Linked DNA regions of Drosophila melanogaster. The gene in region 2 interacts genetically with the main gene of each other region. Each region holds a gene or a part of one and is shown on either strand. Other genes may lie near its edges.

Region 1 (9,640 bases), on a different chromosome or scaffold from region 2:
TTAAACTAGTCAATTTAAATCTGGCTACTATAAGTTACAGTTTTGTGTGTGTTCCGGCGGAGCGCAGGACTTGGAGAGCTAGAAAACGTTCGAGTGCCAAAGAGCACATTCGTAAAAGACCTATACAATTCGAGCTGACTTGACTCGTTCCATTGCTTTTGCTAATGCTGATCCTTTCGCCGTGGCTTCTGCTGGTGCTGGAGTTTTTGCCGACTGCTTAGACCCACTGATCTCGCCCTGCCGCTTGGGACACTATAAGGACGGCGGATCGTACTGGAAGCCCGGGTTGTTGAACTTGAAGCGCGCAATCTCAAATTGCAGTGTCTCGAATTTGATGTCGGCCAGTCGCTTCAGCTGGTGCGCGATCTGCTGGGCATCGCTGCTGCTCAGCGCGCTTGTCAGCGAACTGGGTTCCCGCTCCAGCTTTGTACTGTGCAGCGGCGGCACGGCCTGCATGTTTGAAATGCAACGCGGCGCATTTTTAACTGAAAGATATGGAAAAACGTGATGTTAACTGCTTAAACTTAAGCAAAGTAAAACGGCATAGTTACCTTCGTAGATAATTTGCTCCCTGGGCTGTGTGCGCATCCGCTTGACGGGCAGCTCGCCGTTGATCAGCTTATTGCCGGAGGAGGCTGTGCCCGGATTGATGACGGGGGCAGCAGGCCTGCGGGATGTGACGTACTCGACGGCGTGCGGCTGCACCGTTTGGGGATCCTCCTCGACATGCTCGAAGGATGTGTTGTCCACGACGATGGTGCGATAGGTGCCGCCACCCGTATTGACCGCCGTTGTGGACGCGGTGATGCCGGTCTCCGCCAGATTCTCCTCCATCATGTCCTCGTGATCGACATGCTCCTCCACCATCTCCTCCTCGTCCACCTCATCGTTGATTGCCTCTTCAACGGCTGCCTGAAGTTCCTTTTGAAATGCCACCGAAGTACGCTGGCCCAGTTCCTCCATCTCGTCGTCGTGCTCATCCTTTTCGGACTTCAGATTGAGCATCGTTTCGCCGCCGGTGGTGGGCACCTTGCCAAAGAGATCGAGAGCGCGCGTCTCCACGGAGGTCATCGAGATGTCCTTTTCCGTGGACAGAAGGCTGCGTCTGTACTTGCAGCGAGTGGTGTTCTTCCAATCGTTTAGGCGCTGTATGTGGAGCAGGAAATTCGCGATTAGAGGTAACATTATTTGGGTGATGTAGTGGTACTCGTACCTTGCGCCACTCCTCCGGCGTCAGTGTGGGTCCGGAGCTGCACTTGTTTAGCCGGTCGGAGAGCTCCTTCCACTTTTTGGTCAAGTAGTTCAGGTCATAGTCGCGCGGCACTCGTCCGGTGGCGAAAATGGGGTCGCTCTCCATCATGTCGATGTACATTTGGTACTGCTCCGATGAGGTGCGTTTCTTGCGGCGGTCCATCTTGCCGTTCATCCGGGTATCCTTGCTCTGTGCCTGCGTGCTCGATGCCGTGTTTAAATAGCTGGCAAAAGCCCTAAAATGCAAATCGACGCCACCAAGCGATGCGAGATGTTCACAAACAATTTACGCATTTAGCGTTTGGGATTTTCTAGTTGCATTTTGTTGCTGTTGGCGCAGGGTTGCATTCGGCACGCCAGTGGTGCGCATCTGGCGGGAAGCCAAAAAAGCAATTAGATGCCATGCGATAGTTATGGCTAGATGTGCAATAAATAATTCAATTTTGTTGCAATAAAAACATGCGGATTCAGAAATGATTTGTCACAATATTTATTAGCGGTTTCATATAAATCAATAATACATTTCAAAATATATGTGCAAAAAGTATTTCGTCGAACGATATGCATAACAACAGTCTTAAAAACGACTAATTGGTATATGGTACACACTACTCAAGAATTTGTTTTCAACGAATGCCTACTGTACTACTTATTGAGCGTTCCGCGGCTTTTAATTCGAGGCGAAATCAGCAGGTCCCTCTGAGCTCACATATTATATTACATTATACATTATATCAATGTGCATGGCTAGCATGGGCTATAATTCCGGAACGTACTCGAATCCGGGATTATTGTACTTGAAGCGGGCTATCTTAAAGTGCAGCGATGCCTCGTGTATGTCCGAAATGCGTTTCAGCTGCTCCTGGATTTTCTCTCCATAGAAGGCAGACGGTTCTTTCGCGGCAGATTGATCAGATGTGACATCCGCGACTGAAATCAAGGCTATGTCCCTTTATAGGATATTTAGTATTTACATTAGATTTGCGTCTACCCACCTTCGTAGATAATCTCACTGGAACCATCGAGCCTTAGCTTTTTCGCGGCACTGTGACCATTGATGATCGTTGGGTTGGCTTGCTCGTGAGGCTCTGCTATGAACTGCTGGTACTGCACCTCCTCCTCCTCCTCCTCATCCACCAACTCCTCCAGGTTCTCATTCTCTTCTTCATCCAGTTCCTCTTGCTCCTCCATCAGTTCGTGCAGGCGCATCGAAATTCCCTCGCGAAAATTCGGTTCTAAGGAGAAGATCTGCAGGGCTCTGTTCTCCAGAGGAGTCATTGCATTGCTCTTGTCATCCGAGTTGATGCTGCGTCGGTATTTGGAGCGCGTGCTGTTCTTCCAGTCGTTGAGGCGCTATAAGCATGACACACTGTGGGCTTGTACACTCGATACCCAACTGGTTACAACATACCTTTCGCCATTCCTCGGGCGACAAAGTGGGACCCGTGGAGCACTTGTTTAGCAGATCGCTGAGCTCCTTCCACTTCTTGCCGTCCTGGGTGCGACTCAGTTTGTTGGCCGACATCGGGGGATTCTCCTCCATGAAGTCTAGGTATACTTCGTATTGGTAGTACGACGTCCGCTTGTTGCGTCGATTCATTTTGGGGATCCAAATTATGACCAACAATTGAAAACAAACAAATTGAAACAGACGCCACAAAAAGGCAATAAAGCAACGAGCTATCGATAACACAAACAATTAAGGCTCCGAAATTAAATACCAAAACCGAAATACCAAACTATTTTAGAAAATATCAAAATAATTGTTTGGTTCTCCTAGGTTCGAAAAGAAGTTTCTTGGAATTTGTAATTTACCCGCGCCACAATCTCACAAGATTGTGTAATACATCTAAAAATATTTATTTTTCTCAAAATATCACATTTCAATTTATAAAATAAATTGGTCTAGTTCTTTAAGCATTTTTTGTGTATTTCGTAATTTTTGTAACAAAGCTAGTCCTGCTTTTTCAATCAAGTTCAATCAGAGGGTAGAACAGCTAGTAGAACCGCTGACTCAACATATTTTCCAAACCTTTTTTATTTAAAATTTGTATTCTGAAGTAATTCAAAAGTATATCAATCTCCGTGGTCTGCAGCATTTAACTGTACGCGACGAACGGTATCACCGTAGTGGTCAAAAAAATCAAGTTTCCTGCATTTTCAGGTGTAAAATTAACTGAGATATAGTGCGATTTCTGGCCCGAAAATTGTGCTATTTTACAGAACAGGCCACTGACCACCACATAGACCGCAAGAGAATACGGATAATGCGTCCCCTAGCCCGGAAAAGGCCGCTGGAAAACGAGGATTGAGAACCGAATTGCGAACCAGATGATAGAGTAGCGTGCCAGCCAGCGAGTGCGAGCGAGAGAGGGCGAGAGGAGCAGAGTGAGAGAGAGAGGAGGACAGAGTAGACACAAAACTTCAGGCCCGAGTTCTCGCCCATCTTACGGCCGATTTTACAGCCCATATAGCCGCTATATAGTCGCCAGAATGGCGGAGGAGAATCCCGGAGCTCTTGCCGCCAACGTGCCCTATTTGGGAGTGGATGAGTTGGGCGCATCGGTGATTGTGGAGCCTGGTTTGGAAGGATCCAATGCCGGAGGCCGGACGCTACCGGCTGCGGCCATTAAGTTTGCTGATCTCACCGAGAGCGGCAGTGAGTCGGGAGACAACGAGGCCGAGGAACCTGTATCCGCTGGCCCGGATAATGCCAACGCCATCGGTGAGCCGGGCACCAGTGCATCCGCCGCGGAGGAGAACGGAACAGTAGAGCGCAACTCGCCGCCGCCCAATTGCGCCATCTGCTTGTCCCGCTGCAGGAGGAAGTGCTTCACGGACTCGTGCATGCACCAGTTCTGCTTCAAGTGCCTGTGCGAGTGGAGCAAGGTAACCAGTCCGCAGGCGAGTAAACCATTATTTTAACCATCTAATTATTCTCGATTGCAGATAAAGCCCGAGTGTCCACTGTGTAAGCAGCCCTTCAGAACCATCATACACAATGTCCGCACCCTGGACGACTACGATCGCTACCCGGTGCAGACTACGTCGCCGGTTCCAACAGAAAATCCCTCCCTACGTTACCACATTGTGAGGCGTCCCAGGTACACGCCGCTGGTGCAGAACCAGGCCGTCATTGTCAACGACATCGAGGCGGCCATAGCGGCAGGAGCTGCTGGTGAAGATGTGCTTTCGGCGGCAGAAGTAGCAGCTGGCAGGCGATCGTACAGCCGCTTTGAGCCGTATCGCTCGGAGCTGATGAATTACTACCAGCACGATCAGGATGCATCCACGTCGGGTTCATTGAGCCAGCTCTGGCGACGTTATGTGTACGATAGAAAGCTGTATGCTCTGCCCGTCAGCGACAGCGTGACTGGACACTTTCGAGAGTGGAGCGCCCGTTTTTACAGGTCTGTTCGTATACCTAAAACCGCATACTTAACCATACTGATTTCGATTTCAAATCCTTGCTTATAGAAACAATCCTGCTCAGATTCATCGCCTGATGCCTTGGATCCATCGCGACATCATGTGCCTACTGAGGAATGCCGCACATAGCGTAAATACTGTGATGACTCTGATGAGCGACCTCCTGCCCATGACTAGCTTACTAGGTCCTACATTCCGTCGACGGCTGTCGCCGTATCTCGGCGAGCGCACCAGTCACTTTATCCACGAACTGTTTAACTTTGCCCGCTCCCCGTATGACATAAACGGTTACGATCATGTGGTGCAGTATTCGGCACGAGTGGCTGAGGAGGTGGAGGTGGATCTGTTGGACATGGTGGAGACACAATCCTCGAACGGTGATGATCTGAATTTGGAGGTCGGAGATAGCGATGCGGATGCTATAAACGCTGGCTTCTCTCCGGATTGGAGCCCCCCTAGGGTACGCCCGTCGACCAGTGTGATTGTGACCAATCCTGGTGCCACACATTCCTTCAGCGTGACAATGGCCAGTGATGGCAGTGAGCTGCCGGGGATTTCCATACGCCGTACAACCAATGTGGGCTCACAAACGGTTGCCATTAACCTGAGCATGAGGCGCCCAGCGGCGGTTGCCAGCGAGGAACCAGAGGTCATCGAGATCGACGACGGCGATGCGGCCGCAAATGCAGAGGTGGCGGCCATCAATGATGGCAGCAACACCAGTAGGAGACACGCAGGTGCTACTCTTCCAGTGACGGCGCACATCGAACTGGAGAGCAGCAGCAGTTCCGGCGATGAGGATGAGTGCGTCTTTGTGCTGGAGCTGAAGCCACCACACATGCGCACTCCCGAACAGGTGAGCCTTGACTCAAATAGTGACTCCGATGTGGTGTTCGTAAATGAGCAGCACGAAGCTGCGCCGGACGCAATTGCCGAAAACCGGTCGACACAATCCCCTTTGGATCTGGCCTCCAGGGATCAGGGCCTGTTTATGGGGCCCAGCACAAGTGGCGCAGCGGCCAACAGAGGCAAGAACTGGAAGCTGGTCATGGCGCAGACACGGCGCCTCGATCAGTTGCGCACGCTGCGCTCTATACGTTCGAAGAAATCACGCCGTTCATCCATGCCTGCCCGCAGTGACAGTGGCAGCAGCCCCAGCAGCTGCAGCAGCTCCTCCTTTCACTTCAGCAGCAGCAGCGATGAGGATAGCAGTGACAGTAGTACCACCAACTCCGAGCCACCCAAGAAAAAGTCACGCAAGCGAGTGGCGAATAATAAGCGCTCTAAAAAGGAGTCAATCGGGAAAAGGACATCTCGTAAACGGAAGGCCAAAGACCAGAATATGGAAATGCTTGAGCAGCAGCAGATAAGCCAAAAGAAGCCCCAGCGCCAACCGGAAAGCAGCAGTGACAGTCCAAGTTCGTCCGATGACGAGTCAGGTGGCGATAGCAGCGAGTCATCCGGTAAGTGGTTTGTGAATCTAGACGGTTCTTATCAGCATGTATGAATGTATGTATAACACCACACATTCTGAACAGGAAAACACTAGAATGATCTCTAAAAACAATCAAAAAACTATTTATTATCCTATCAGATCAAACTTGTATAATTACACAAATTTGTTTTCTAGGTCAACCCAACACGAACAACAACAAATCCAGCAGCGATTCCGATGATGATAGCGCTGTAAACATGCAGCTCAGTGCCTTGCGCGCCACACTAAAAGCGGAGGCAACTCTGGAGGATAGGAAACCTGTAAAACTGGAGCTTCAGTTGCCGGATGACGACCAGGCGGGGCCCCTCCACTCACGGATGACTCCATCGCCGAGAGAGGATAACGAACCGGGTTGCAGTGCACCGAAACGGCGACGCAGTTGCAGCCACAGCAATCAGTCCAGCCAGAGTGCCAGTTTGGCCAGCAGTTCGACAGCCACCTCGAGCTCGGCTCCATTAAGTTCGTTTGCCTGGGGAGCAGCGGGCTTTTCCGGCGATCCGCTGATGCGCGGACATCCGGCGATGGAAGAGCACGACATAGCCAACTCCCTAATCGAACTGTCCACTCTAACGCAGCCTGTGAACATCGGACTCTTCAACGAGCATTATAATTCGGCAGAGAATTCCATGGGCATGCTGAGCAACACGTTGTGCGACAGCCCACAAACTTTGGCGGCGGATGACGCCAATCTAGAGAACTATTTCGATACAGATGCGGATCCGGAGGCCAGCCGTGAACGGGATGCCTATTCGCTGGAGGCCGCAATCGATGTAGTTGGCGAATCAGAGTTGCAAATCGCCGAGGATACAGCCACTGCCACCGAAGAACAAGATGAGGAGGACGAAGAGGATGAAGATCAAGAGGAAGACGACCAGGAAGAGGAAAAAGCTGCGGAGGAAGAAGAGGAAGAGGAGGAGGACGACGATGATAGCGACAACCACGATGAAAACGATGAGAATCAGGGACTACTGCCGTATTAAGCATAAGCCACTGATTTAGATTTTCATTTAAGTTGCTAGTGTAAGGGAATGTTTAACTGGTTTCCGTCTTGTCTTGTTCCGATTCCTGAAATCCCCAAACCCCATAAAATAATATTTGTAATTGTAACTCATGTATTGTAGGCCTAAGATTGCCATTTTAAGTTGTACATACATATATAAACACCCATCCCAACATTATTTAAATGTTCTGTCATACATACATATACCACCCCCCCCCTTCCACATCAAAAGACGCATTCAATATCCCCCTGAAGAACATCGATTGTAAATGTATTCACGTAGGTTAGCGGCATCTATAACTAACTAACTATAAACAATGGCAACTAACTTTACTATCGTAGCTTTTAAATCGTAGAATTAGCGCTGATCAATGTATGAGGAGGGTGTTAATGTTTTTTGCATAAGTGGGCGTGGCCAGTTATGAATTTTAGTGTACTCAACATACAATGAACAAAAGATATCTGTAATACGAATCAAATACATAATAAATGTAAAGATTAAATTAAAGATAAATAAGTGTCATTTCATATTTCGTAAAGTTCTAAAAGTAATTCTCATTGGATCAAGGATGCCCCCCGGCATAGGCACCTTGCGCATTTTTTTTTTTGTTAAATTTATGCATATTTTGTTTCAATTCAATGTTTCCAGTGATTTCAGAGTATATTCGATTTCCGATGTCCCGATTTGTCACGATTTGCAGGTTAATTTATGGCATTGTCTAAACAGTCCCTTACTTTCCACACTTGACATTAGGCATCGTGTAGATGCGCCCCAAATAAAAACGTGCCACAGAGCCGTTGTGCCTGCGCAATAAGCAAAACTTTTTCGCTGAGTTTCAATTGGAATTGTTTAAAGAACGAGCTAATTGTTTAATTCCTATAAGGTAAATACTGTATCATATTGCACAGCTGGAAAAGTTCCATTTCGCGAGCGACAGTGAGCAGTGAAATCAGTATTAAATCGAATTTGTGATTGACAATTCCAGGAATTTTCGTTCACGTGTAAAGTTTCTGTTTCTGTTTTTTCTTCGAACAATTTCGACATTGTCGACACGTGGAGTGCAGCAACAATGATGCCACGGCACATGGTCCAATGGCGCATATATGTCTACGCCAATTCGCTATATTCTCTGCCGGATCGTGAAACGGGCGACTTTCGCGGCTGGTCCCCCGAATATTTCCGGTGAGTGAAAATTTCCTCCTCCAATACAAATAAGGGAAATTTCAGCCATGTTCTCATTTCTGCATTTCCTTGTAGTCTCAATCCCTTCGAGGTTCATAGGGTAATGATGTGGGTGAACCGCGATGTATCGGTGCTGATCAGGACCAGGAAGGCGGATATTTTCTATCTGTACGAGACCATCAAGAATCTGCTTCCACGTCTTAAGCTGGACAGCGAGGAGTTCCGAAAGCCCATGATCCACTTTTTTGGCGCCAATACGGACCTTTTCATCCACGAACTGATCAACTTTGCCCGTTCCCCGTACGACACTCTAATGGCCTATGAGTGCAGCACACAGTACCGGGCCTTGTTGGATTTTGATAATGGTCCTACTACGTCGGCGAAGTCCAGGGATCGCGAGTTTTTGTCGACGAGACTGCACAGCTTTGTAGAATTTACGCGCCGCATCAACTACGACGATTGCGGTGGCTTTGAGGCGGATCTGGAGCTGGAGGATGAGGATTTCGGCGAGCTCGACGATATGATGATGGAGCGCTATGGTGGTGCTCCGTTCTTGATGAAGATGGACGGACAGCTGGTGACAGCCCGAATCATACCGAGCTCACAAGCTAATGCACCTAACCAGGGTCAGGTGAATCAACAAACTCAATCCCAGGCCCAGGCTCAGGCCCAGGCACAGGCTCAGGTCCAGGCACAGGCTCAGGCCCAGGCCCAGACTCAGGCTCAGACTCAGGCCCAGGCTCTGGCTCAGGCCCAGGCTCAGGCCCAGGTCCAGGCACAGCCACAGGCTCAGGTCCAGCAGGCAGCAGCTCAGCCTGCCCAGCTGCTCCTCCCTCAGCTAACGCAGGCGGTGATCCAGACTCAGCAACGAGCGGTTCACCAACCCCAGCAGTCGGGACAGCAATCAGGACCTCAGCATGCCTCATCGACCGCCGCCTTGGCTACGCCTCTGGAGGATCTGGAGCTCGGGTTCGCCATCGAGCGCAGCATGTTCGTAGGAGCCTCAAACGCTGATCAAGGAGGCGATTTCATCCTGCCATACGGACAAGTTTTCCGCTTTGCCAACACTAACCGTGCAGCGCGCCCTTCCAACGGGAATGGATCCGGCTCTGGTGTCATGAATCCACCACCAGCACCACCCGTGCCGAATAATCCGCGAAATGCGTCCGCACATCAGGGACGCCGCCGCCGCACGCAAAACCAACGCTAGAAGGGATCCCTAATTACAATATCCTGTTGCAACATTTTCAACTCATGTATAATACAATCGAGTGCGCCGAGG
Region 2 (7,543 bases):
ATTAAGTTGTACACAAAAGCCGTCGAATCTTTTCTTTTCCGCTGATGCCACTGCCGCTTCTTCATTTTTGGCATCGCCAGCTTTTGTAAGACGGTTCGGTTCGTTCGTCTAGATGCGGAATTAATGATGCAATGACAATTGATGCACACCACGCAAAGCGCATTTAGCATTTATGATATTTATGCTCAATTAGTGTCGCTGTTTGCCGTGTGGCGATTTAGCTGGAGATCCATTCCCCGATCCCCTCCCATTTTCCCACTTATATGATAGTGTGAAGTTTCAGTTTGATTTGATGGCAGCAAGCTGAGTTACATCAGGTTAGCTGAAAGACGACTAATATGTACATATGTACTTATTTTAGTGCTTACTATGAGTATATAAAGTATCAGGGTGGTTTAATAGGTATTTATTCGTTTGATAACCACAAGCTGATCTCCTTGCGATTTAGATTGGCGTATTGGTTTTAAAAAATGCCCAAACACACAACCCACATACTTTGAAAAGCCCACTTTAGTGCTGTGTAAAATTTCAATTGATTAAGATGACTGCAAGCTGAGTTACTTCAGGTCATTGCATAGCTCGATGCTTTATTCGATTGAAAATCAGCTAATTACGGCCTAAACATATCAGATGGGAAATTTGAAGTGCGTTTGATGGTTAGTTAGTTCCCAAGTTACATGAGGACACTCCATTCGACCGGCTTCAATTAGCTTCAATGGCTATTCATAATTAATGCCATAAACCGGAAAGAGAGGGAAATAGCAAATAATCATAATAAAAATTGATCGAGCACACACAGATACAGATACACATATGTTGGCATAGACGGACGGGACGGACACACATAGTTCATGAACTCAATTTTTAATAATAATTTCCAAATGATTTTTTATTTCACATTATTAGTTGCGTGGTAGTTCAGATCGAGTTCGAGTTCTCGGGTTCAGATCGCCATCTCCACCCACCCACCACAAGCTTTTAATTGTTCGATTTTCATTTCGATTCGTCTCGTTTCGTTTCGTTCGGTTCGTATAGTATAGTATAGTATGGTATAGTATAGTATCGTTTCGATTCGTTCGTCGCATTTTGTTATAGATACTATGTATGTGTACCGATGTGGATGTGATGGACATTTCGGTTTCTGTTTTTGCTGCTGCTGCTGCCGATGCCGCTTCTGTTTTAATTTCCGTGCTGACAAATTAATTTAATTATATTAACATATCTTTCCAGCGATCGAACGATTGAACTGACTGAAATATTTTCATATACCATGCGTGTGTGTCTACATACATATGTATGCATCTGTGTGCTGTGTGGGTGGTTGAATTCGGTCTGTGATTCTTGGTATAACCCCTTTTTCAAACACCCCCCCCCCCCCATTCATCCACGTTTCGGTTTCTGTGACTCATTAGCTGGCTTCTCTGCCAGAGAGCGAGTAAATTGCACTTAAAACGCTAAAAATTATACGACACACGCCGCCGCTCAGTCCACCGATCTGATCTCTATCTGTATACTGTATCTGGCAATATGGTATCTATGGTTTGGTATAGCATGGTATGATATCGTATATGTGTACAAGGTATCCGTGTGCTTCCAAGGGCTTAAGGGACAACCCTTGGCTGCTCATTTTCGGCATATGCAAATGCCGGGACGCCATCTTTGAAAATTAAACTTTATAAACTATCAATGCTCGTCCCCGGTATTCCGCATTTCGTATTTTATATCCGTATCTGCATCTGTGATGGTGCTATGGTGGTGGTGACTACCCTATAAACCGGTTTCAATTCGATTAAAACGGAACCCAAACTCGATTTACTCTCATCTTTTCAATTCAACTTTTCTATTTTTTTTTTTTTAATATTTTTTAAGTCAGCAAATGCATTTGGCAATTAGTTCGGTTTTGTTGTCTTTCCATTTCCATCTTTTTTTTTTCTAGTTTGAATCAGCACAAATCAATGACAAAAACCTCATCTTTCATCTAGTTTTCGGTTTATGGTTTTTCGGATTTCGGTAATTGTAGAAGCTAAACAAAAAATCTGTTCGATGTTAATGGGTCAAGTTTATAGATTGCATTACGGAAATTAATTTTGCTCTTTTTAACTTTTGGTTCTTCTTTGGCTTCTGCTTTTTGTTCTTGCACTTGTTTTTTTTTTCAATTTTTTGTGATCGTTTTTTCGGTGCCACCGTTCTATATATTTAATGACAAAACTTTGTGTTAATCAAGCACATTTTTATTGTTGCTTTTTCGAATTCGATTTGTGTCAATTTTTTCGCGCGCGCTCTGTTCTTGAAATGTAAATAAATAAATAAGTGAAATACTATAAAAATTGTTTTATCAACTCATTTGGACAGCTGTAGACGTCTGTCTGCGGTTTGTTTAATTTATTTAATAAGCTTCTATTTTTGGTTGGCAAATTTAGTTATGTTGAATAACCTTTTTTTCTGCCGCAGAGAAATGGTATTTATGGATCGAGTTCTAATTTTGTTTTGTTGATCAGCATGCGAAGGCATGACGAAACCTTTCAAATATTGATTCATTGATCACAATCGATCATTGGTTGAGGGATCTTGAAAGTTATAGAAGACTTGAAGCTTTTGAAAGCCATTAAATGATCGTTAGGAAAGAGGAAAAAAGAACCCAAAACAGTGGCGCCTTTAGATGGGGTTTTGTGTTTTCGTTTAGGCCGCCAACACTATGCTCTATCACTATGTACATATCTAACATTTAAATATAACAAGCAAATGCATTTAATTAAATAAAAACCGGTTCTATTTGAGATCAGCAAAGCCCCATTCATAAAATCCTGTGTACACCACTGACTTCAAGTAATCCTAACGAGTTCTGCGGCTTCTCATCTTTTTGCCTTTGTTGTGGTTCTCCGGAAAAAGTCGATAGGATAGCTTTTGGTTTTGCTTATTTAAGTTTTATTGATTGCAGTTTGCATCGCCATATCTTGTACAAAAATATTTGTGGAGCGGGAAAAAACGCCATTCACCGACGGCAAATGTCTAGATTTTCCGGGAATTTTTCCATGTCTGTCTTTCACTGTGCGCGTCTCTCGCTTTTCACGATCAATCGAAGAAGAAACTCCAATTAAAAAATTTGCCCGGCTGTCGACGCAACCTAATTAACTTGCCAAACCATATAGAGAGTATTTTTATATATAGAAATATTCAAAAATATATACAGCAGTTGATATTTCCATGTCTGGTCTGGCAGATGATTTTCTTTTCCCCTTTTTGGCCTCTAATGTTATTTTGCCGCCTTATTTGTTCGGAGTCTGGCATTTGGCCAGCGAAATTCTCAGCATCGTCTGGCCCCCGCCTCCCGATTTTCCACGCCCCCTTTTACAGCGAAACCCCCATCTGAATTGTCTCTTCCGTCTGGCCGATCTTGTCTGGCTTTATCTTTTTCGGTTCACTGGTAGTAGAAAACAGAAAAAAAAACGCTTCAAAAAAAAAAAAAGTTATTCAAGCAATAAACTGTTCACTTATTACTTGCTTGTTGCACTTTGCATTTGTTGTTTTTGTTTTGTGCAAACAAATTTTTTTTCAGAAATCAATAATAGCAGAAAAAATAAATAAATTTACAACAAGAAATTAGACAACAATAACGGGCCAGCAACAATAAAAACACATTTGCCATAGACACGCAAACTCAATTAGTTAACTTAAGTTAAGTTAAGCAGTTTGCGGGGCCAAAATATGGGGGCTGTGTGGGGTTAAAGTGGGCGGCTGGGCGCACTAGGGTTATTGTTGTCAGCTGTGGGAGTTTCCAGTGAAATGCAACGAATATCACAGAACTCGGGAACTATTCACTGTTTAGTTACAATGATAATTGCAAATTTGTATATGACTTTTTAGTCTAATCAATGTATGGAAAGTTCTAATTTTAGCTTATAACGTTTTAAAGGCTTTCGGGCTTTTCGCGTTACGCTCCCTAAACTTTTCACTTTGAATACACAATACTGTATGAATCGAATTCATTTCATTCATATAAAGTTAGAAAACGCAAGTATCAAATTTTATGCTACATATAACAGGTGTAATTTCATCTTTTTGTTGACAAAAATAAGATACACCTTGCATGTAATATAAACGTAAGACTGTTTGTCAATGCGAATAAAAGTGAGAACAGAAGATAAAACACTTTTGCACCGAACATTTTACGAACCCGTAATCTCAGCTTGTTTGGCCAATTCATTGAACTATATTCATATTATTATTCTTGAAACACGAAACTTCTTGCTTTTAAGCACCGTTTTCCATCGTTTTGCTAACTTTTCTTACCTGTTGCCAAAACTGTGCCAATAAATAAATTTGCTCCTTTTTGAAAAACCAATCGTTGATTGATTGAACAGCCGTCAGATCCATATCGGCTGTCCCAGCGGCTTGTGGCAATGTTGGCTGCATTCGTGGGCTTTCTTGGGTTAATTCAATAATTCTCAGTCAGTTTTTGCTTAGGTTTTTTTGGGGTTTTCAGTTTTTGGATTCTACCAATTTGGGGCTAATAAGGCCTGGCATTATTCTGTTCTGTTGTCGTTTCGATTTTACTTGTTAGTTAGTTGTTATTTAATTCGGTTTTCGTTTTTAGTCATCACATTTACACCTTAAGTAGTATGTTTCTTGTTACGTGCTCAAAAAAATGCATAAATAAGCCAATTTCTGTGTGTTATTATTATTATTATTATGGTTATGTTATGTTTTATATTTTGTTCACTTTAGTTCCGAAAAAGAATTTTTTTTGATTTTTTTGGAAGGGGGTTTCTTCTTGTTGTTGTGTGGGGGATTTTGTTGTAGTCGTTTGTTGAATGGTGAGGGTATGATGTTGTTGTTTTGGTTGTTGCCTGTTGTTGTTGTGTGTGTGATTTTTTCAAGCCATTATCATTATGTTGTTGCTTTTTGGCTGTGGCTTATTTTGCACATGTTTGCTGTCGCTGTTGTTGCTTTTGATGTTGCTGTTGTTGTTTACACTTGACACTCATACACGCGCACATATTTTAGCGAACAAAAATGCACTTGAAAAAAATAATAAACAGTTATATTATACGTTCGTTTAGTCCTTTTTGATTTGTTTGGCTGTGTGCTGTTTTGTTTATAAATATGATCAATACGTTTCTTCTTCTTGGCAAGCGAGATTCATTCTTTTGCAATTATTTTTTTATGAATTTTTTGTATGAAGTGGGTGGGGGGATTCTTCTGCACACACACACACACGACGTACACACACAGTGAGAGAGAGGGGCACACACGCACACACACCCGCGCCGCGGCTAAGAAGAAGAAGCTGCACTGCCTTGTGGGGCAGTAGAATCCAAAAATCTTCTGAAATTCTCGATTTCTTTCGGCGACGGACGAACGAAACGACGTTGCCAGTCACGAATGCTGTTGATGACTGAACAAATCGAACGTTAACGAAGCGCCGACAACCCTCTGCCGCAGAGAGCGCCGACAGCGGCGTTGGCAGCGACAGAGGCGCCACAAACACACAACACACTCATGCAGCGCAACTCTCTCGCTCGCTCTCTCACGCTCCGCGCAAGAGAATCTCACTCAATTCCCGTGCACTGCTTTTGATTTCTTTCAATAGCTTTTTGATTTTCTCACTTTTTTTGCGCTTTCCTTCTCGGCTTTTTTTTTTACTCTTATTTTTGAGCATTTTTCTGCGCCGTCGCATGTCAGTTGCATGTATTGAAATTCATTCATTCACAGACACTTTGGCTAGTGCCCTCCCGCTCGCACATCGCTTTTCTTATTGGAAACGAAAGAGCCAGGCGCTCGCCTCTCTCCACTACTGCTTGTTGTTGTTGCTTATTGAGCGCAGGATTGAGTGCAACGTCGACTGTGACGCTGGCGGAGGGATTGAGATTGAGGATATTTCGGAAAGTTGTAATATTTTTTGGCTTTAGGGGGATTTACCTGGAATTCAAGTATTATTCTGAAACTGATAAGTTTTAAAGTTAAGAACTAAAGAACTAAAAGTTCCACGAGATAAGTCTTAGAATTAAAAGCAGCTGCTATATTCATCAAATGTTCGAACATAGTAAACAATAGTAGAAAGTGATGGAAATAAAAAAGTAAATACGAAGTGTAAATTAAGCTAAATGCAACAAACAATTCTATGTTTTGTTGTTTAATTTAATTTTTATGTTTTTTTTTAGAGGTAAATGTAACATTTAGAAACAATCTGTCCTTTCCAAATTTCCGCCACTTTATGATGCACCTTAAATTGCATTCCTAACTTAAGTCCCTTGGCTGGCTGTCTCTGTTCGGCTCTTCAAAAATCCATGGAATATTAAATTGGAGAGTAAGCCCCTTCTCAGCCTCCCGTTATTTTGTGTTTTTCCGCAAACCCCTGGAATTTGCAGTCCCGTTGCGGGATTTTCGCATAAAGAAAAGTTCAAATTGTATCGAAGCGCCAAGTGCAATGCAGACGCCCCCGACCCCCTTGGTATTCTCACTCCCTATTTTTCTACTAAACCCCATGATTTCTGCTGGGCGGGGAGGGGCGATGTGGTTGGGATTTTCCAAGGGGTTATGGCTTACACCTAAACTGAGACTGAGAACCCAAGTCGCAGTCGCAGATGCGTTGCTGCAGTCTGAGAGGAAAATCGGTTGAAAAGCGGTTAGGATTTGGGTGGAAAATTGTTGGTAAATGGGGTGTACGGGGAATATTGGGGGCTTGGATCTGCTCGGGGACTTCGTCGTCGGCTTGCAAAATAACGAAAATAACGGGAGAGCCGAGAGAAAGGGCAGCGCCAACTACACGAAGACAAAAAACGATGCTCGGTTCCGCCGTCGGCGTCGAAAAATGTACTCACCCCGAAAAAAATACTCATTTCATTTTATTGCTCCTAGTTTACCCCCAACTGCCAACCCACCCACAAAGGTGAGGGAATTTAGCCACACATTATTGGGGAAACCAATAAGGGATTTTTATATAATTTCGTTAATACATACATTATGCCATTATATACAAAAATGCAATATACAAGTATTCAATATATGGTTCTTACAAATTTAAAAAAATTATCACTGCATGTTATAATTATCATGAAAAAAAATGACTGATGAAATTCGTAAAAGTAATGAAGTACAAAGAAAGATTCGTTCTTAAAAATGACAAGACGAGAAATATTAAAATATACATACATACTATGCAATATTACAAATTATAAGTGCATTGAAGACCCCTACAAATCGCCCATATAGAAACAAGTGTCCGCCAACCAGCAGAATTCCAACTGGATTAAAAACGGCGGAATTCAAGAAACCACTCAATCCAAATACTCACAAGATATTCACTCACTCGCTCTCCTGTCTTTGAGTCGAAAATGCAAGGGGTTCGAACTCGTTTTCGAAATACTTTCGAACTTCCATCAAGACATCCAACTTATTAAAAGTTGATTACCTTACCTGTTCTATGTTATGTTTTATGTTTTTAAGCTATTTATGTTCTTGATTTGCTTTATAAATATCTATTATTGTTTGGATTTGCTAAACATACTGTAAATTTCCAGGACATTTAATAAAAATTCATTTT
Region 3 (7,586 bases), 3.0 Mb from region 2:
AGGGGCATATTCTCAATTGCAAGATAAATACATATGTTTACACAAAAAAAAAAAAAAACGTTCGAAATTCCATGCGATTGAGCATTTCTCTTGTAGAACAAAGCAAAAGTTAAAGCATTTTATAAAATATTTAAGTATAAGCCAGGGTATTAGCCGCCTTCGCACTACGTAAACCCTGTTTTCTGCACTATTATTCTACATTTGTTGTTGCCGTTATTGTTGTTATTAAACAAGCTGTTTGGCTGGTCATATTGTTATTGTTCTTTTGCCGTTGATTTTACTTTTTTTGCTTTCGTTCGTGGCGGGGGTGCAAAGTTTAGGCAAAGCAGAAAATCATATAAAATTTGAGAAACAAAAAATAACAAAAAAATAGGCGACGCGCGCCTTTTCAATAACCTTTATCAGGTGGGTGACTGTTTTCTGTGGGCGGAATTGGGTGGCGGCGGGTGCCCAGTCACCTTGACATATCACTGGTGACAACAGTAACAACAATAAAAACAATAACAAATTCGCTGGCAAACGAGTGCGAATTAAAACGATTAATGGCGCTGGCTTTGCTTTTGCAAATAATAATCCCAAAACGAAAGCGAATTTCAGGCATTGCAGCCCGGTTACACTGAGCAAATTTTAAGCTGCAAACTACAAGGCAGGTAAGACAATTCAAAATATGATCAATTTATTGCCGGGCTTCAACAAGAATCATCTAGTTTTTGTAAAATTGTTTCGGCAGAATGTCGTTACTTTTCTCGCTCTGTAAAATATACCCACAACCAAGTTACTAAGTGATAAAGAGCGCAATATTATGTGGAGCAGTGTTGTGAAGGGTGTGTGAGGTGGGGGGGGGGGGGGGGAGGTGGAGTTTTCAATGTTGAAGAGCAGCGCGTGGGATTTTCAGTTGGCAGCATTGTTTGCTATTTGTTTTATGCTAAGCTAAATGCTAACTAAATGTTGGCAATTAAATGTTAATGTTGCCCCTTTCTGCCGCTGCTTCTTCTTCTGCGTCGACTGCTACTATTTGCAACGCCAACACTTTCCGTCTCCATTGAAAACGGAAAAATTGAAAAAAAGGGAAATTGATACAGAAACTGAAAACGAAACCGAAACTGAAACACTTTGGTTTGGTTTCTCAGCTGTTTGCATATGGCAAAAATGCAATGCATATCATATCTGGCTGGCTTTTAATGTATATTTAACACGCATTGCCATTACCATCATTATATTGTTGTAATTGTGCTTGGCGTTGGCTGTCATTGTTGTTGCTGTTGTTACTGTGCTTATTGTATTTCTTGTATTTATTGTATTTATTGTGCCACCCACGCGCATGCGCAACCAACTCAAAAAGACAGTGACGCAAGCGACTAAGTTTTCCAATCGCTTTCGATGGAAATTTGCATTCTTTTCGACACTGAATTCCGAAAATAAGATAATTATATATTAATAATATTAAGATCTCTGAAAAATTTGTATGATTACAACATAATTTTGTCACTTTTGAGTGAGCTATAGTTTTTAATCGCTGAACCACTGTGCGAATTTTTCAAGTTCATTATAAACAAAACGTAAATATTATTAAATTGTGTACAAACAGCGCGTTGCACGTGTCGCTGTGCCTTCTAGTGTGTGTGTATGTGTGTGTGTGCGTAGGGGCGCGTGTTTGTGTCTGTGTGTGTGAGTGGGCGAGTGTATTGAACTCTTGCTGCATTTTTTGCACAATTTCGCCGCCTTTTTTTCTGCTTTTGCTTGCGTTGTATTATTGTGCTCATTTATTTTTATTTTTACCTCTGTTGTTACAATTGTTTTGCATTATTTTTCTTTGAGTGGAGAATCGATCGAATGCATCGATTTTTGGATGAGATGCTGAAGGGTTGCTGGTCACCTAATTTACATACATACATATGTACATTCTTTCGGCAGCTGACACTATTTAAAATTGACCTCTCGACGGTACCTAAACACCTATGAGTATCGAAGAGCATGGAAAAAGAGCCTTTATATTTGGAGAACGCTATCCCCAAAGAATCGCAGAACTACGGGCAGCTACATGACATTTCTTTCGGTGCATTAATGTTAATTTCAATGCTGCTTGATTGCTGTATGACGCACCCTGAAAAGGTGAAAGGTGAAAAGAGGGACCGAAAAGAGACTCGATCGTCTCCGACTTCCGTTCTGGGCACAGCTAGAGGTTAAGGTTGAGAAACTGGCCAGGAAGTATCCGCTCGGGGGTTAATGGATACGGATACACGGATGGGGATGTTCACAGCTATGGATGAGCACATATGTATGTACATACATACATACATACATACATACATACATATGTATGGGCATATGTACACGAAGATCTGGATGTGCTCATCGCTAGATGAAGTGCGACAGAAAGGGCAACAAACATGGCCAGCGTGGCCAATGGCAACGGGATTTGCCCAAAAATCCAAAATGCATCCAGACATATGCATATGTGTATGTGGGTGCTACATACAGTGATCACTCGTATAGAAGGCAGAAAAAGTTGACAATTGGAGATTTGGTAGTCTGGCACATTTCTATCCTACATCCGTTGATTTTGTTTCATTTTTTAACAAGATTTCAGACTCATTTCCCGAAGTATTTATTTTGCCGATATTAATACTTTTTTCTAGTTATTGAAAAAAATGGTGACTTTGGTTTAAAGTCCTAGGTCAAACTGAAGTATTCCATAAATATTAAAAGAAGGAAATACTACACAAATAATGCATCTTCGATTAGATATACTTCTTCTACGCTCAGATCTAGTATCGTGCATCCCATTTCCAGTTGTCAAGTGTCCACTGTAATTTCCAATTCCAATGAAAGATGAGTACGGCCCTCTCGCTCTTCCACACACACACACACGCACCCAATGTGTAATCCTATTTGCGCCAAATAAAGAAAAAGAAGAAGACAAATTTGAAACGAAGAATGAGAAGGAAAGAAAATCCAAGCTGCGCTGCCTCCGTTGAAAAAAAAATGAGAAAAACCAGACTGCTTCTCTCTTCTCTCTTTTCTCTTTTCATTTCAAATTTTACGCTCTCGCTCTCGCGGACAGCGACGCCGCCGGCGGCAGCGCAGCGCAGCCGTTGTATTTATAAATACAACTTTATAAATACAACATCAGTCGATTTTCATCTGCCGAATCGGTTGCGCTGCGGCTGCGCTGAGAATAAGATACAAAACTCGTGCGCGGCGCTTCAAGAAACCAACTCAAAAGCAGACAAATCAAATAACTAACTTGTAGAAAATAAAAATATAATAAAACATAAACAGAATTTCTCAATTCTAAGCCTACAAAGAAATATCAAACGCAAACTGCATATTTTTTTCACGTTTTTTTTTTAAACGACAAACCATTGGGAATTTTTGGAATACTAAGCTTTAAGGCCAAAGAAGTGTGAAAAATATTAAGTGAACCAAAAAATAAGTGCTATCTGAATTAAGTTATCTGACAAGAATTAAAAAAAAAACCTACACACTAAACATAAAACACAAAACACCAAAAAGCCACCAAAAATCATTTTTCAACGGGAACCAAGCCTAAAACAGTGCGAAATCCGGAGTTGGAATGCCGTCGCAACTGTTGAACACAATTTCACAACTAAATATCCACTAAGGTAATTTTTTAACAGTGATTGTTTTGGATTTTTTTTTATGTTGTTTCTGTGATTTGTGCGTGAACAATTTGTTGTTGCTTTGGATAAATAATCGAGCGCAGAAAACATGGATTATCAAAAGGATGAAATTGGAAAAGTTATTGGGTCTTCAGCTAAGCTAACATTTTTGTGTTAAATTGTTAAGAACAAAAATTGTTGAATTTAAAATTAGCACAACCGTTTTAAAATAAAATTTAAAAGCTTAGTTTTCAAACACATTTGAAATGCAATTTTTAAATGCAATTGAAGTGCAGCAGTGTTTTAAAATCGACTTAGATATTAGAAATATTATTTAAAAAAGATGAAGTAATGAAAATATATATGCCAGTTTAATTCTTCCGTAAATCGTTAAAATAATTTAATGATCCAAATTCATTATATTCCGATTAAATCAAAAGGAAAATGTTTATATAAAATTATTTTCCTACGATCACAATGTTTGAAAACATTTCAATTCAAGTCCATTCCCAAAACCCCTCCCTTGGTGTTTTGGGTCAAGTTCTGCCTGCAATTAGCCGGGTCAAAAAATTACCCATGACCGATGCTAAAACCCTTGAACTTTGACACACCACGCACACACAGACAGTCCAGTCCGAAAAGCCAGAAATTTCCGTGGTCAGGGATGATGAGGCGACGTTTATAGGGTTTAATTCAGATTGATGATCTGTTTAATATCGCAGGGGTTGTGCTCCATGTCAAACGGTTCACTTCACTCGGCTTGATTCCGTTAGATGGCGATTAGAAATTTGTTTTTTCACTGACCAAGTTGTGTTCATTGATAATTCCCAAGGGTCATAAAGGTGTGAAAACCGCCCAACAATTCCCCGCCCCAAAAAGTATATATTCGGGAGGGAATCTTTATCTCAATGACTTTTCATGACTCATGGACAACGAAATTGAAATCAGCCAACCAAAATGAAAGGCCAAACCGAAAGCCAATGGACAACAAACAACTAACACACATTTACCGAAAAAATTATATGTGTATATGACTGGATGTATGCATGTGTGTATGTATATATAGCGAACAGTGGGCTCGTTATCGGTAGAAATTTTTGATCAGCCTCTGAGGTTTCAGAGTTTCTTTATTTTTGTTGCCTTTCGGGGGGAAGTTAGGATTTTCAAATCGATCCACTACCACCCAAAGAAACAACAACAACGACAACAACTGGGACACCGCTCATAGTCATAGCCTTGATAACGGTAAATGCTAATGAGTGTACCCACATTTTTCACCCACACACCGAAATTCTTGATAAGAGCAGCATTGCCAGATGTGTATTGAATTCAATTCTTCGCACCTTTCTGCGGATGCACTTGCAACAGTCGCCAATTCTTCTTATTCGCTCTTCACAGGAACTCGATTTCAAATAGCTTTTCCGCTTCTGTTTTTTCATCTTTCCGTTGCATTGTTTACTTGCCTGAATCAGCTGTTTACGTTACTCAAGATTTAGTTTAGTATTACGCGACAATCGAAGACTGGAGAATGCAGGGTGCCCCACTATCGATTTTCTGTTATTAATTGAACCCTACACCCAGTTTACAGAATGGAACGCTGTCAGTGTGGATATCATTTGTTTACGCGTGATTTCTTTCCATCTTCAGACTTTCATAAAGCTAGTAATTACATTTTTGAATCAGCGAGTGTTGCAAAACTTTGGTGGGGTTGGACAAAAAGTAATAAAAATACTTGCGATTATAAGTGTTTAGTATATTTGATACACTTCTTTTGTCTTCGAGTTATCTAATTAGTGTCAACACTTGTTCAAGTGCTTCGATTTTTCGATAGAGTTCTTATTACACGTGCTTTATCTATACCCATCTCTAAAAGTCCTTTCTTCTTTTTCTCTCGAATCTTCTAAATCAGCACAGTTAACTAGCCGTTGGAAAAATGCTCGCCGCACAGCAACAGCACAACAACAGCACAGTGGAATCGGAAATGGAGCGCCAGCGACGGGACTCCACCACATCGGAGTCCTCGCTGGAGCATCTGGATCTGGGACGTACGCCCAAAAAACTGGGCGGTAACAGTGGCTCTACACAGACCACATCCACGCCACATGAGCTGGCTACGGTGACATCTTCGCGCAAGCGCAAAATTCGCCATTTGCAATTGAATCACCATCAGCAGCAGCAGCATCACCAGCAGTCGGATCTGCTGAGTGATGAAGACGTGGCGGAGGCGGAGGCGGAGGAGGATGAGGACGAGGAGGATGGCGACCAGGTGGCCGCCTTGGGCTCAAGGAATCTGGGACGGCACAAGCAGCGTCGCAGTGGTGGCGCCACCACACAGGCATCCATTGTGATGGACTACAGCAGTGGCGATGCCAGTTCGCTGCGCAAGAAATTTCGTCTGAATCGCTCGGCGGCCAGTCTCTCGGAATCGGGATTCGTGGACGCCAGCAGCACCACTGGCCACAGTGGCTATCTGGGTAACAGTAGCAGCGCTACGAACACTACTGCGACCAGTGGTATTGGTGCTAGCGCAGTGGCTCCATCTCCAGTCGGCGGAGCAGCGATCAACGCAGCATCCAGCAGCAGCGGCAGCAGCAGTGGCGGATCCGGTGGCTCCTCGCCCCAGGGACAGTGCCTCTCCAGCGGTGAATCAGGCATCGGAGCCGGCGACGAGCATATGAAATACCTTTGCCCAATCTGTGAGGTGGTCTCAGCCACGCCGCACGAGTTCACCAACCACATCCGGTGCCACAATTACGCCAATGGCGATACGGAGAACTTCACCTGCCGCATTTGCTCCAAGGTGAGTCATTGTGGTCACTCAAATTGTGTGCACCCTTTGTTTTTCATTAGATTAGATATAGATTTAAGGAATATCGAAAGAAGCGTTCAAATCTCAAACGAAGACTTTCAATATTGCTTTGAAAGCAAGTTAGTTTCGAGTAGTTGAGATGAACTACTGCTTTAAATTGATGAATAGACAGATGTGCTAGGACTTAGAAGAGCTAGCCGTAGGTTATTAACCCCTGATCGCCTGATTACTCACTCACCTGTTCTTCGTTTCTCCCACCATCCAAATTGAAACTATAAACAGGTGCTATCCTCGGCTTCATCCCTGGACAGACACGTGCTGGTTCACACGGGCGAGCGTCCCTTTAACTGCCGCTACTGCCACCTGACGTTCACCACCAATGGCAACATGCACCGTCACATGCGCACCCACAAACAGCATCAAGTTGCGCAGTCGCAGTCGCAGTCGCAGCAGCAGCAGTCGCTGCAGCAGCAGCAACAGTCGCAGCAGCAGCGCCGTCAGCAGCAGCAACATCAGCCGTCGCAGCAGCAGCAGAATCCCGCCCAGCAGCAATTGATGGGCAACACGTTATCCGCCCGAGCGGAGAGCTACGAAAGCGATGCCAGCTGCTCCACGGACGTGTCCAGTGGACATAGTCACAGTCGCAGCAGCAGTTCCCTTAACAACAACAACAACAACTCGCACAAGGCTAACAACAATCTAAAGGACTTGGAGGAGCTGGAGGTTTCGACTGAGGATCAGGATACGGAGAACAAGCAGCGTCGACTGAAGACCACCATCAACAACAACATCATCGAGAGTGAGCAGCAGGAGGATATGGATGATGAGGAGGCCGACGATGCGGATGTGGCCATGCTGACCAGCACTCCCGATGTCGCCACTCTTTTGGCCGGAGCCAGTGCATCTGGCGCCGCCTCGCGTTCCCCTACCCCATCGCCATCCGCCTCACCTGCCTTGCTCCTAAGTTGTCCCGCCTGCGGAGCCTCCGATTTCGAGACCCTGCCCGCTCTCTGCGTCCATTTGGATGCAATGCACTCAGACATACCAGCCAAGTGTCGGGACTGCGAGGTGATCTTTGCCACCCATCGTCAGTTGCAGTCGCACTGTTGTCGCTTACCCAACGCTCTGGCCGGTGGCTTACCGCCGCTTCTCGG

Evidence for each region. A genetic interaction does not mean that the proteins touch.
Region 1: of ct (region 2) and Topors, changing one suppresses a phenotype caused by changing the other (phenotypic suppression), as found in Drosophila melanogaster (one study listed by BioGRID).
Region 3: of ct (region 2) and peb, changing one suppresses a phenotype caused by changing the other (phenotypic suppression), as found in Drosophila melanogaster (one study listed by BioGRID).

The regions. Positions count from the first base shown.
Region 1 is NT_033778.4:18,969,583-18,979,222, forward strand, and holds Topors (topoisomerase I-interacting protein), read left to right. Parts: upstream 1-3,029; 5' UTR 3,030-3,356; exon of another isoform or gene 3,357-3,415; 5' UTR 3,416-3,744; coding exon 3,745-4,140; intron 4,141-4,200; coding exon 4,201-4,661; intron 4,662-4,728; coding exon 4,729-6,143; intron 6,144-6,310; coding exon 6,311-7,155; 3' UTR 7,156-7,680; downstream 7,681-9,640. Other genes in the region: prod (proliferation disrupter), read right to left, coding at 253-485, 552-1,146, 1,214-1,426; CG15107 (uncharacterized protein), read right to left, coding at 2,009-2,193, 2,247-2,604, 2,663-2,851; CG18605 (uncharacterized protein), read left to right, coding at 8,246-8,358, 8,434-9,568. UniProt on the Drosophila melanogaster protein: Functions as a ubiquitin-protein E3 ligase. Negatively regulates the transcriptional repressor hairy/hry by promoting its ubiquitination and subsequent degradation. Also directs the nuclear organization of the gypsy chromatin insulator.
Region 2 is NC_004354.4:7,606,286-7,613,828, reverse strand, and holds the start of ct (cut), read right to left. Parts: upstream 4,682-7,543; 5' UTR 4,414-4,681; coding exon 4,291-4,413; intron 1-4,290. UniProt on the Drosophila melanogaster protein: Regulator of cell fate decisions in multiple lineages. Specifically, functions as a determination factor that specifies sensory organ identity in precursor cells. Probably also involved in cell type specification of Malpighian tubules.
Region 3 is NC_004354.4:4,614,438-4,622,023, forward strand, and holds the start of peb (pebbled), read left to right. Parts: upstream 1-3,126; 5' UTR 3,127-3,626; intron 3,627-5,532; exon of another isoform or gene 5,533-5,537; 5' UTR 5,538-5,556; coding exon 5,557-6,423; intron 6,424-6,714; coding exon 6,715-7,586.